Linked DNA regions of Stegostoma tigrinum. The protein of the gene in region 1 interacts with the protein of each later gene in a pairwise test. Links are inferred from orthologs where the notes say so. Each region holds a gene or a part of one and is shown on either strand. Other genes may lie near its edges.

The links.
Region 2: the proteins of E3 ubiquitin-protein ligase TRIM63-like (region 1) and mybpc3 interact in a two-hybrid assay, tested with the Homo sapiens proteins (2 studies listed by BioGRID and IntAct). The link is inferred for Stegostoma tigrinum from reciprocal best matches to the Homo sapiens genes TRIM63 and MYBPC3.
Region 3: the proteins of E3 ubiquitin-protein ligase TRIM63-like (region 1) and pdhb interact in a two-hybrid assay, tested with the Homo sapiens proteins (2 studies listed by BioGRID). The link is inferred for Stegostoma tigrinum from reciprocal best matches to the Homo sapiens genes TRIM63 and PDHB.

The regions. Positions count from the first base shown.
Region 1 is NC_081377.1:30,190,322-30,194,071, reverse strand, and holds the start of E3 ubiquitin-protein ligase TRIM63-like, read left to right. Parts: upstream 1-1,485; 5' UTR 1,486-1,635; coding exon 1,636-1,794; intron 1,795-2,657; coding exon 2,658-2,824; intron 2,825-3,750. UniProt on the Homo sapiens protein: E3 ubiquitin ligase. Mediates the ubiquitination and subsequent proteasomal degradation of CKM, GMEB1 and HIBADH.
Region 2 is NC_081370.1:12,000,205-12,003,954, forward strand, and holds the start of mybpc3 (myosin-binding protein C, cardiac-type), read left to right. Parts: upstream 1-1,389; 5' UTR 1,390-1,488; coding exon 1,489-1,513; intron 1,514-3,573; coding exon 3,574-3,750. UniProt on the Homo sapiens protein: Thick filament-associated protein located in the crossbridge region of vertebrate striated muscle a bands. In vitro it binds MHC, F-actin and native thin filaments, and modifies the activity of actin-activated myosin ATPase.
Region 3 is NC_081364.1:52,377,552-52,381,301, forward strand, and holds the start of pdhb (pyruvate dehydrogenase E1 component subunit beta, mitochondrial), read left to right. Parts: upstream 1-1,536; 5' UTR 1,537-1,633; coding exon 1,634-1,669; intron 1,670-1,774; coding exon 1,775-1,834; intron 1,835-3,750. UniProt on the Homo sapiens protein: The pyruvate dehydrogenase complex catalyzes the overall conversion of pyruvate to acetyl-CoA and CO(2), and thereby links the glycolytic pathway to the tricarboxylic cycle.

The DNA.
Region 1 (3,750 bases):
GAAGACTGGTATCTATAATGCTGGGGAACCACTGGAGGAGGCCAAAATGAATCATCCATTCATTACTTCTGGCTGAAGATTGCTGTGGATGCTTCAGCCTTATCTCTTGCAATGATGTGTCAGGCTTCTTCCTTCACTGAGAATGGGGATACTTGTAGAGTGTCCTCCTCCTGTGAGTTGTTTAATTGTTCACCACCATAAATGCTGGCCAGCCAGCAATGCCCATGTCCCATAAGTAAATAAATTTTAAAATGTGTGTTGCAGTCAGAATTGTAGGTTGTGATGGCATAGCGTCCGATATTCGTTCTATCACATGGCTGATCAGGAATATCTCCTTTCCTTAAACGCCATCACTGGCTCATGTTGGAAGGATTTTGTCAATTGATCTCAGCATATTTGGCCATTATGAATATACCTTTCTTGGCCATTAAAACCTGCAGTGGGATTGACACCCAGTCATTCTGGTCCAGTGGCTGAGATTGTGATGGTACCACGAGATGTCCTGGTGAGATTTGTAAACAAGGACAATCGAGTTACTTGTAATTGAGAGTTGGGGTTGTAGGGGGTTGTCTCCAGTGGTGTGGGTGGAAACCTGTTTGGACAGTTTCCGTGGTTATTAACATTGAGGAAAATCAGAATGTTATTCTAGTTATGCTCATGACTCACATGTCCAATTTTTAAGCCGTTAGATTGGCTTGAACACTTTTCAGGCAGCTGGGCAAATATGTGGAGGAAACTCCAGGACTTATATCTGCTGGTTTTTACAAACTTCATTCTTGGGGTGTCAATGTCGTTGGCTCTTAATAGATATTTTAAATTCAACAGCTGAAGAATCTTTGCAATTGATAAGTGGAAAGGATTTGTATTTTCTTTAATATCAGCCACATCTAAAATATTTCTGGACTCACCAAGCAAACCCAGCTAGGCCTATTCTTCATTTCACTCCTGGCTGCTGGATGCTTCATTCTACTCTTCCACCATCACATCCCCTGCTCTGAGAGTATCCCTATCCCCAAAAGACTGCACTTCTTCACAATCTCCTTTCCTGCTTTCAGAAGTATCCAGATAACCAAGCCCTACATTAACTTTCTAATGCCTTCCTCCCTCATTGTCAATGTTCACGATTGTCTACAAATCCTGTCAAAGCGCTTTCAAAATTCCCTTGATGCACAGTGAAAACAAAATTGTTTTTGTTGGGCATTTTGGACAGGATGTTTTCTACTCACCTTGATCGATTGGCAGTTATATAAAATGTTTAGCAACTTTATTTTTATTTATTCTTTCTGTGTAAGTTGTTTTTCTGAGTGTCACATGTGACTGCATCTCCGGGTCCTGCTTGTTCTCAGTTTCACGTTGCAAGTTTCTAATATGGGAAAAGTTATGTTGAGGACTAGGTTCCCCCACCCCCCACCTCAGCTATCATGTGACACTGGAAATCTTTATAAAAAGGACGAGCTGTCATGCACAGACAGAAAAGGAACAAGGAGTAATCTTATCACGACGCCTGAGCTCCACTGAATCTCTTCTGAAGAGGATACTAACACGGAATTTGTCTGAAAGCAACGAGAGTGACAGGGAGAAGAAAAAGGCAACGCAACTCAGCAGGTTTTTAAGTGGTGTTTGCTATATTTGGAGATGGAGTTCCAGCCGAATATTATCCGAGAATCCAGCACGATGGAGACACTGGAGAAGCAACTCATCTGCCCGATTTGTCTTGAAATGTTTGAAAAGCCGGTTGTGATCCTGCCATGCCAACACAATCTGTGCAGAAAATGTGCCAATGATGTATTCCAGGTTAGTGCTTTTAAGCTGTGTCCATTCAAAACTCGGCAAACTGGGGTTTCTTATCAGTGTTCCAAACTTTCAAAGACAGTAACATTTGGAAATGGGTAACTCCTTTCCAACTTTCTGTGGAGAGCTCTGACCACTTGCTGGGTTGCAGTAAGGCACAGATATTGACTTCAATCCTCTGTCCTAATATCTCAGTTGGTGGCTTGGTGTCAAGTATTGTTTAATATGACCCCTGTGAAATGCCCTGGGATGTTTGCACCATGCCACGAGTGCTATACAAATAGAACTTGGAGTTTTGCTGTCCCTCCTGTGTCCCCATACCTCACTTGCACCTGCACTAACTCCAATGGGAGCCATGGTTTAATTTCTCCCCATTTCCTCAGACCAAGGCCATTGAAGCCAATTGCAGCAACTCAACTGAAGTCTGAGATCAGCTAGTTGAACATAAACTTAAAAGTGAACCTGGACCGTGCACAGTCTGCACTATTGGCAGTTAAGAAAGACAGATTAGAAAGCTAGGATGTAAGGCAGAATTTGAATTCATTAACACTGCTCACAATGTCAGGTTGTCCCAAAGCATCTTATGATCAATGAAGTATATTTTTCAAGTAAAGTTACTGTTATAATATAGGAATGATCTTCAAGACTTAGGGAGACCTCTTTAATATAAAATTTAACAAACCTTTAGGTGAGTAAGTATTTCTGAAAATCTTTTAAAGCAGAAACTTTAAAAAGTGTGATATCTTTTGACATTATTTTTAAAAATGATGAGTAGGTATAATGTTGCATCCAGTTTTGGTACAGTGCTAACCTGTGAGCTTGTGCTAAACATTTTCTAGATACATATATGTATGTGCTTTTTTTAGGCTGCTAATCCATATTGGCAGGGTCGAGGTACCATGATTTCTGGAGGTAGGTTCAGGTGCCCATCCTGTCGACATGAAGTTATCCTGGACCGTCATGGGGTATATGGACTGCAGAGGAACCTACTGGTGGAGAACATCATTGATATCTACAAGGAAGAGGGAATCAGGTTAGCTTGGGGAACCATTTCATCTTCTGCATCAAGCTTGTTGTTCGGGTCAGAGGTACAGGTGGGTGATGGGAAGAGAAGATGGAAATACGTTTGCCAGGCTGGGAAAGTGATTATTATGATACGTCTTATGCATTGCTTGCAATGATGCCTCCTGGAGGTATTTGCTGAGATATCATGTGAACACATCAAGAACCCAAATCTTGTATTTTTCAGTTGAAGTGGGAATAAGTTCAGGGACAGTTGGACTGAGTTACAAAGATGCTAGCTCAGTTTGTTATATATTGTGTGTACTTCTACAGTTCTGTTACAAGTTCATATGTTTCCTTCTTTAATGGAAACTGCCCACGTGAACAACTCACAGTGAAGATTATGAAGGCCTTTGATGGAGCAGATATAGAGATGTTTCCACCTGTAAGGGAATCCAGAACCAAGGGTGTTACAAAATTAAGACATAGCTAATCAAACTGATATAGAATTGAGGAGCAGTTTCTTAACTCAGTGAAACTTGCTTCCATATGAAGTGGTTGAAGGAGATTATTGTAGATGGTTTTAAAGGGAAGCTAGATAAATACATCATGGAGAAAAACAAATAAAAGGATCTGTTGACATGGCAAGAAAGTAGGTTGGAGAAGGCAGTTGGGAGAAGGCCCACAATGAGTGTAAATGCCAGCAAAGATCTTATGTTCTGAATTGAAAAATCCTATGTAATAACATCCTTCAATTTATGTTAATATTACAATGCCTTCACTGGTAGGAGGGTGTAATTACAGTGTAACTAGTTTTAATAAGCACCAATTTTTAATAAACATTGTAAATGTGACCAGAGGAAGATAAAAAGTTCAAAGTATGTGGAGCAACTGTAAGATTTTTGATGTGAAATAGATGCTGATTTCACAAACCAGAAGGCCTTTAAAGTTTTCTGA
Region 2 (3,750 bases), on another chromosome or scaffold:
AGGAGGTTAAATGTTGAAAAGCTAAGGAAGCAAAGATAACTGTCTACTATCATGGATTTGATTTGGTGGAAATACAAAAGATTGATAAGGATGAAGTAAAGTATGTTTTCCCCTCTTGTTGGTTGCCCCACCATTTACTGCAGACTCACTGCACCTGCAGTGACCTTTAGGACCTTACCAGTGTGTTCAGTAGTGCTACTGCTGAGCCACTCTTGGCGATGGGCATTGAAGTCCCCCACCCAGAGTACATTACGCAAGCTTGCCATGCTCAGTGCGTCGTCCAAGTATTGCTCAACATGGAGAAGCACTGATTTGTCATCCAAGGGAAAACGGTACATGGTAATCAGCAGGAGGTTTCCTTACCCATGAATAACCTGATCCCATGAGACTTTATGGGGTCAGGAATCAATGTTGAGGATTTTCAGGGCAACTCCCTCCTGACTGTATATCACTCTGTCATCACCTCTGCTGAGCCTGACCTACCGGTGAGACAGGACATATCCAGGGATTGTGACGGTTGTGTCTCGGACATTGACTGTAGGGTATGATTCCAGGAGTATGACTATGTCAGGCTGTTGCTTGACTAGTCTGTGACTCAGTTCTCCCAATTTTCACTAGCACTAGCCCCCCGATATTAGTGAGGAGGATTTGCAGGGTCAACATGGCTGTTTGTGGTCCCGATGTCAAAACTATCCGGTTTCATTTCTTTGTTGAAACTTCATAGCGATTAATACAAATGAGTGGCTTGCTAAGTCATTTCAGAGAGCATTTGAGAGTCTACCACATTGCTGTGGGTGTGGAGTCATTCCTCCGTAAACTCCTACGGAAACTAGTTAACCAGATGAGCTTTTAATTCCAGACAACTATTCAATCCAGTTTCACCACCTGCTGTGAGGAGAGCATTAATCTGGGGCTCAGGATTATTAGTCCAGTAAATTGCCACCAACTCATTCTATTTTTATCTCTGCCTATCTCTGTGCCTCTCTCTGTCTCTGTAGGTCTGCCTCTGTGCCTTTGTTTGTACACAGAAGTAGCTCGCTCTCTGTGTCTGCCTGTTCCTCTACCTGCATCTTGTTCTTTATCTATGTAGCTTTTCAGGTACCTCTGCTGGCCTCTGGCTCTCTGCATGTTTGTACCTCTGCCTCTCACACTCTGCCTTTCCTTGTCTGTCTGTATTTTTGTCTATCACTCGGTCCAGGTGTAGCTCTGCCTATACTTCTGTCTGCCTCTCACTTTTGTTTATCCATGTAGCTCAGCCTGCACTTCTGCTTTGTCTCTCTGTGCCTGTCTGCCCGGGTGTCCTCCGCCTGTTTGTCAGCCCTGCTATGTATTAGCCTGAGTATTCCGCCAGTTGCTCATCTCTGGTTCGCTCTCAGCGCAGTGACAGGCTCTGACGTGCACGACCCTGAATTTAAATGTTCGGCACCCGATACTGAAGGTTGCTCTTGGCCAGCGGGAGCGGAGCGAAGTTTAACGAAGTGGAGCGGAATGTCAGAAGCCGGGAGAAAACCAGGTGAGAATCTGTGGGATGGAGGGTCAGTGTTCGGGGAGCGGACAGGGTGTTGGAGAAGGGCTTTCCATAATGAAGTCATGTGTTTTCAAACTGAGAGTTGAACTTGCGCTCGCAGGTTTGACCGGGAGTTCCAGAAGGAGGATTAGTGATGTGTTGCAGTACAGCCCAAAGGCTCGCTGTGTCATCACCCCGATGAACAACTCCGTTCAAATACCCCCTACCCTACCAGACAGCTCTCCTTTGACAAACCCTCTGAACTGCTTCCAACCTGGAGAGTCCCAGATCCAGAAAAACAGCCAGCCCTGAGGTACTATACCCCTGACAACATTTCAGCAATGGTGCTGAGGACTTATGCACCAGAACTTGCTGCTCCTTTAGCAAAGCTACAACACTAGCAGCTACCTGGCAACGTGACTGATGATTGCATCATGTTCAGCACCATTTGTGACTCCTCAGATACTGTTCAAATCCAACAAGATCTGGACAATAACTTGGCTTGGGTGGACAAGTGGCAAGTAAATTTGCGCCACACACTAGCAACATCACTGACCACAAACTCAACTGGGCTCTGTACGTAAACAGGTGATAATGGGAACTGCAGATGCTGGAGAATCCTTCTCTACGTAAACATAATGGCTTTAAGAACAGATCAGAATCTAGCAATACTGCGATGAGTAACTCGCTACCTGATTCCCAAAAGCCCATCCACCATTGACAAGGCACAATTCAGGAGTGTGATGGAATACTTCTCACTTGCCTAGATGGGTGCAGTTCCAATAATGCTGAAGTAGCTTAAACCCATCCAGGACAAAGCAGCTTGCTTGATTGGCACTACATCCACTCTCTTCACCACCAATGCTCAGTAGCAGCATCTACAAATCTGTACTGTCTGAATTCGCTAAGACAGCAAATTCCAAACCCATAACCTCTTCCATCTAGAAGGATAAAGGCAGCAGATTAATGGGAGCACTACGACTTGCTAGTTCCCTCCAAACCACTCCCCCTCCTGACTTGGAAACACAGGCAGTCCCTCTTTGTGAACTGTTTCTGTTCTTGTGTCCCATCACAAGTTGATTTTTACGTAAGTCATAAACTATATTAGGTCAATATAAGATAGCCATTCTTAAGTGCAGGAAATGTTCATATGCTGTATCTTTAAAATATATACCCATGTATGGGATTGTTTGTAAGTACAAACATTAGTAAGTTGGACTGACTCTTTATCATCATTCCTTTAGGGTCAAAATTCTGGAATTCCCTTCCTAACAGCATTGTAGATCTGCCTACAGCGCATGAACTGCAGTGGTTCAAGAAGGCAGCTCACCACCACCTTCTTGAGGGAAACTAGTGACAGGCAATAAAAATTGCTGACCCAGCCAGTGACGTCCAGCTCCTGTGAATGAAAATAATGTTAGCAGTCAGTTGAATGACAATGTTTTTAACATTATTAACTCTCCTCTCCATCATGCAAGGACTGAAGCTTGTCTCACGCCTTGAGTGGCTGCAGACTCTGTATCCCCCAGTTTGGGCTGCTCCCTTCCGAACAGTTAAAGCTTCTAGGGCTTTACGCTTGTGGTCAGTGAGACAAAGAGATCAGTCATTTAATGGTTAAACAGAATGATTCTTAACATGGAAAAATCCAATCCAACTCGTACTTAAAGTTTTTCTGGAGTATCTCCCATTCCAAACCTGGGATGTGTCCATTCAGAATCTGAAATACCTGCTACATTGCTGGTGGAGGAGAGTCCGAGGGATGTTGGAGGGGATGAGAGTGAGTTCATGGGTGGATATGGAAGACAATGAGTGGGAGCGGAGGAGAGAGGGGTGGGTAACGTAATTGAGTAGGGAGAGGAGAGTGCCAGGTAGGTTGACAGTGCAGACATGTGGTGGTGCCTATGTGTGTGGGGATCTGCATGTTGAAGAGTGTTCTGTATGAGTGGGTTAGAAACAGACAGATTGTTGGTAGTGAAGGTGTGAGGCTGAGCACTGTCATTGGAGTGAGCACCTTTCTGAAAACCTGTCCCTTTGTTGTGTCCCACCTCCCTCTTCCCTCTGCTCAGCTTCCTCCTTCACAAAGAAGCCACGGAGCGCAGTGTTCAACCTGGGCAGTGATGCCACATTCACGGCGGAGACAGAGAAAGGGGTGGCAAAGGTGAGATGGCAGCAGCATGGTGCAGACATGGCAGCGAGTGACCGATGGACCATCATTTCAGAGGGCACCAAGCACACCCTAACCA
Region 3 (3,750 bases), on another chromosome or scaffold:
TGAAGCTGGCCGGAGGTAGGGGGTTACGTGGCTTTGAAGGCCTGTCAGGTACAGCAAGGGAAGGAATGATGGAGCTAGTGTCCAGGACGGAGCGGGAAACGGTCACATATGACAGGTGAATGGTGGTGGGTGGACCACCTAAAGAGGGGTGGGGGTTGTGGGGAGGGAGTGCAGGGGAGGATTGTGGAGACAGGGTTTGCAGGGGGGATTGTGGTGGGGGTGGGGTTTGCAATGGGGGGACTGTGCTGGGGCTGGGCTTTGCAGTGGGGGGGACTGTGCTGGGGCTGGCGTTTGCCGGAGGGGGGAATGTGCTGGGGCTGGGCTTTGCAGTGGGGGGGGACTGTGCTGGGGCTGGGCTTTGCCGGGGGATTGAGGCGGGGCTTGTGTTTGCGGGGGGGGGGGCGGGAGGGGAACTGTGCTGGGGCTGGGGTTTGCCGGGGGATTGAGGCGGGGCTTGTGTTTGCGGGGGGGGGGGCGGGAGGGGAACTGTGCTGGGGCTGGGGTTTGAGAGATAATGGGAACTGCAGATGCTGGAGATTCTAAGATAATAAAATGTGAGGCTGGATGAACACAGCTGGCCAAGCAGCATCTCAGGAGCACAAAAGCTGACGTTTCGGGCCTAGACCCTTCATCAGAGAGCTGGGGTTTGTCGCGGAGTGGGAGGCGGTGTGTATACGGGATTGTGGGGGCGGGATTTGGCGGGGGGAGGAGGGATTACAGGGGCGGAGTATGCGACGGCGGGCCATACACAAATCGCCGGGCGAACGTGTGGCAGCGTCCGTGCTCAAAAAGCAGAGTTAATACTTTCGCGTTCGGCTGCAGTTCGTCAGACCCGATCGTAGTTTGCAAAAGGTTAGTAGATATAGACTGAAAACGACAAACGCCGGGGTCAGTCAGCACCCGTGGAGCCATCAACGCCGTGCACCGACATGAATGTGCACACTCCACTCCACAATGCAGCAACACCGACTCACTCACCCTGTCTCAAAGCTGCGCCGGTCCCAAGTCTTCACTTCACCCTTTGCCTCTTCCGTCGCCTCAAGAAAAGACTTTCTTTCTTAAGGGTATCGAGGTATGCAAGCTGCAGCGCTGGCTCTCCATGGACGCTGTCTGAGTTGCCGCGACCTCCAGCGTTTGCAGTAATTTGCTATTTCGTTTAGTGTAGAAACCATTTGATTCCTTCCAGACTGGACATTACCCATTTCTTAGCTTGCTCACACCATCTCCCTCTGCCCTCCACCCCCACCAATCGGTCACCCCTACCATGCTGAATTCTGCTCTCTCTCCAGAGAATGCTGCCAGACGTGCTGAATTTTCGCGGCAATTTGTTGCTTTGCTACTGATTGGGCGGGGGAGGCGGGGCCTGGACGAAGAGGCGGCCGTGGGAGAGGGGCGGGGCCTACGGTGGATCGGTCTGTGGGTTTTGGGGGGGGCGGGGTGATAAACCAGCGAAAGTGAACGCCGCCGGGCGGGCGTGGTCACGTCGCGCCCCACATTGTGCGCGATTACGACAAAACGGTCCCTTCTAATATATATTACAATTGGCCAGCAGTCAGGGCCCCTCCCCCCCCACCTCCGTTATCGCGCGCAGCAGTTTACGTCAGTAAGAGACTCCTTGAAGGGTGCAGGGAAAATGGCGGCGCTGAGGAGCCTGCTCCGTGGAGGGAAGGTGCGAGCGTTCCCTGCAATGGTGGCGGCAATTCATCGGTTAATTGCAGCGGCTTCCGGATCTTTGTATCTCTGCAGTAACGCTGACTTGTGTTTGTTTGTACAGAGTACTTTTGGTGTGTTGTCGCGGAAGAGGTTTCATCGGTCGGCTGTCGCCGGCGCTCAGGTAAGAAGGGTCACCTTCGGTCACTGCCTGTGAACGAGAGGAGTTTGTCGTTTTTTTTACCGCGGCCGGTTATCTCTGCTGTTTGTTTAGTCAAGAGTCTGAGGAATTTTGCCTCCTTTATAAGAAGGAGGGTCACCGGACCTAAAACGTCAACTCTGCTTTATCTCCACAGATGCTGCCAGACCTACCGAGTTTATCCAACCTTTTTTTTGTTTCCGGCTTTAGTTTAATGTTCCTGTTTTTAACGGCAGTTTTTTTCTCCGGTATTGTGAAATTAACGGTTATGCTTTCGGAGGTCTTCTATTGAACGCCGCTACTGGAAACAAGCCCCCTTTTTTGGGTTGGATTAATGATTTCAGTGGACGTCGAATAGATGTTTTCCTCTGGATAGCCTAGAAAAAGAGGTCGTAAATGTACAGTGAGAGAAAAGGGGTCTCAAAACTGAATTGAGGGGAAACGACCTCCTGAGGGTTGTGAAACCTGTAGAGGTCCCTCTCTGGGAGTGCATCATTGGTGGAATCAATTATCAGATTCAAGAAAGAAACATATATTTCTGATGAGAGGTGGGTAAAGGCCTGTGGGGACTGTAGTCATTGCAACAACTTCATCTAAGTTGACCTCATAGAATATGATGTCCTTGATTGTGGCTGTTAATGTGGTCCAATCAGGGAGCCCCTGGCTGACAGATATAAACAAGAATGTCAGAGGTTCTGCTCACTAGACCTGGCTCTGAGGAAGCCAGACCAGTGTTGAGAACTATGCACGTGCGAATGACTGATAACTCAGTTTAAGGGATACCGGGGCTGCGGTGGAAGTGTTTCAGGGGTGACGAGAGTGGGATGTAGATATGGCTGTATTGTTCGGACAGTGCCCAGAGTGTCAACTAGGACAAAAATCACTGCTAGCAGCTCCCCCATGTTTGTGAGAATGGCTGGATAAACCCTGGTCTCTGTTAGAAGTCAACTACACCAGTCCTTTCATGATCTCAACAATGTTAGTCACAGTGGATGCCCAGTCAGTAGTTGGGTGTGCATAGCGTTCATTCATCAAACGTGGCAACAACAATTGAAAAGTTGCATCTTTGGCAGTACTGGGCTCCTGGAAGTGTTGGCAATGGACAGTGTGCCATCATTTACCAGCAGGGAATTTGAGTATTTAATAAAGCTGACTGGCATTAGCATTTAAACACAGCTCCATGCCACCCATCATGCAGTGGTCTGGTGGAAAGAGCAGTCCAAACCTTGAAGGCAGGTTTAAAGAAACAGCCTGTAGCCTCGCTCAATACCTAACTGTTGATTATCAGACCACCCTTGTGCAACTACAAGGATAGCTCCAGCAGCGTTGTTCATGGGGATAAGATTCTGCAGCAGATTAAATCTGATCTTCTCAGACCCGAGGTGGGAGGGGGTCGAAGTGTGAAACGGTATCAGGAACAGTAATGCCGGACATCTCTCTTCTACGTGAGAGAGACGGTTTACTTCAGGGGATGAAGTTTGGTGTTGATACCATGGAAAAGAGGAGTTCAAAAATGTGAAAGATATTAATGGAATGTTCTCTATAGATTATAGTGTAAGGGAGCAATAGTGTTTTCACATCACAGCAACCAAACTGTTAGGGTACATTTCTTGAGGATGATTGGCATTGATTACACACTAATAGAATCAGAATAAGACATAGAAAGTGATAAAGCACCATGTAGTTTGCATACTCAGACATTGGACTGTTGTGAGGAACAGATTATGGCAGGTGAATGGGTGACTGAAGACACAGCATTTATAGAAACGTAGGATAAGGTTATTTGCTTGGTTAAGAGGCAAGATCAGATCCACGACCTACAAAATTCGGGTAGGTGAGACGGTTCTGAACAAGAACGTGGACACCATGAAACCTGTAAACTTTCAAACAGGCAGGAGCAA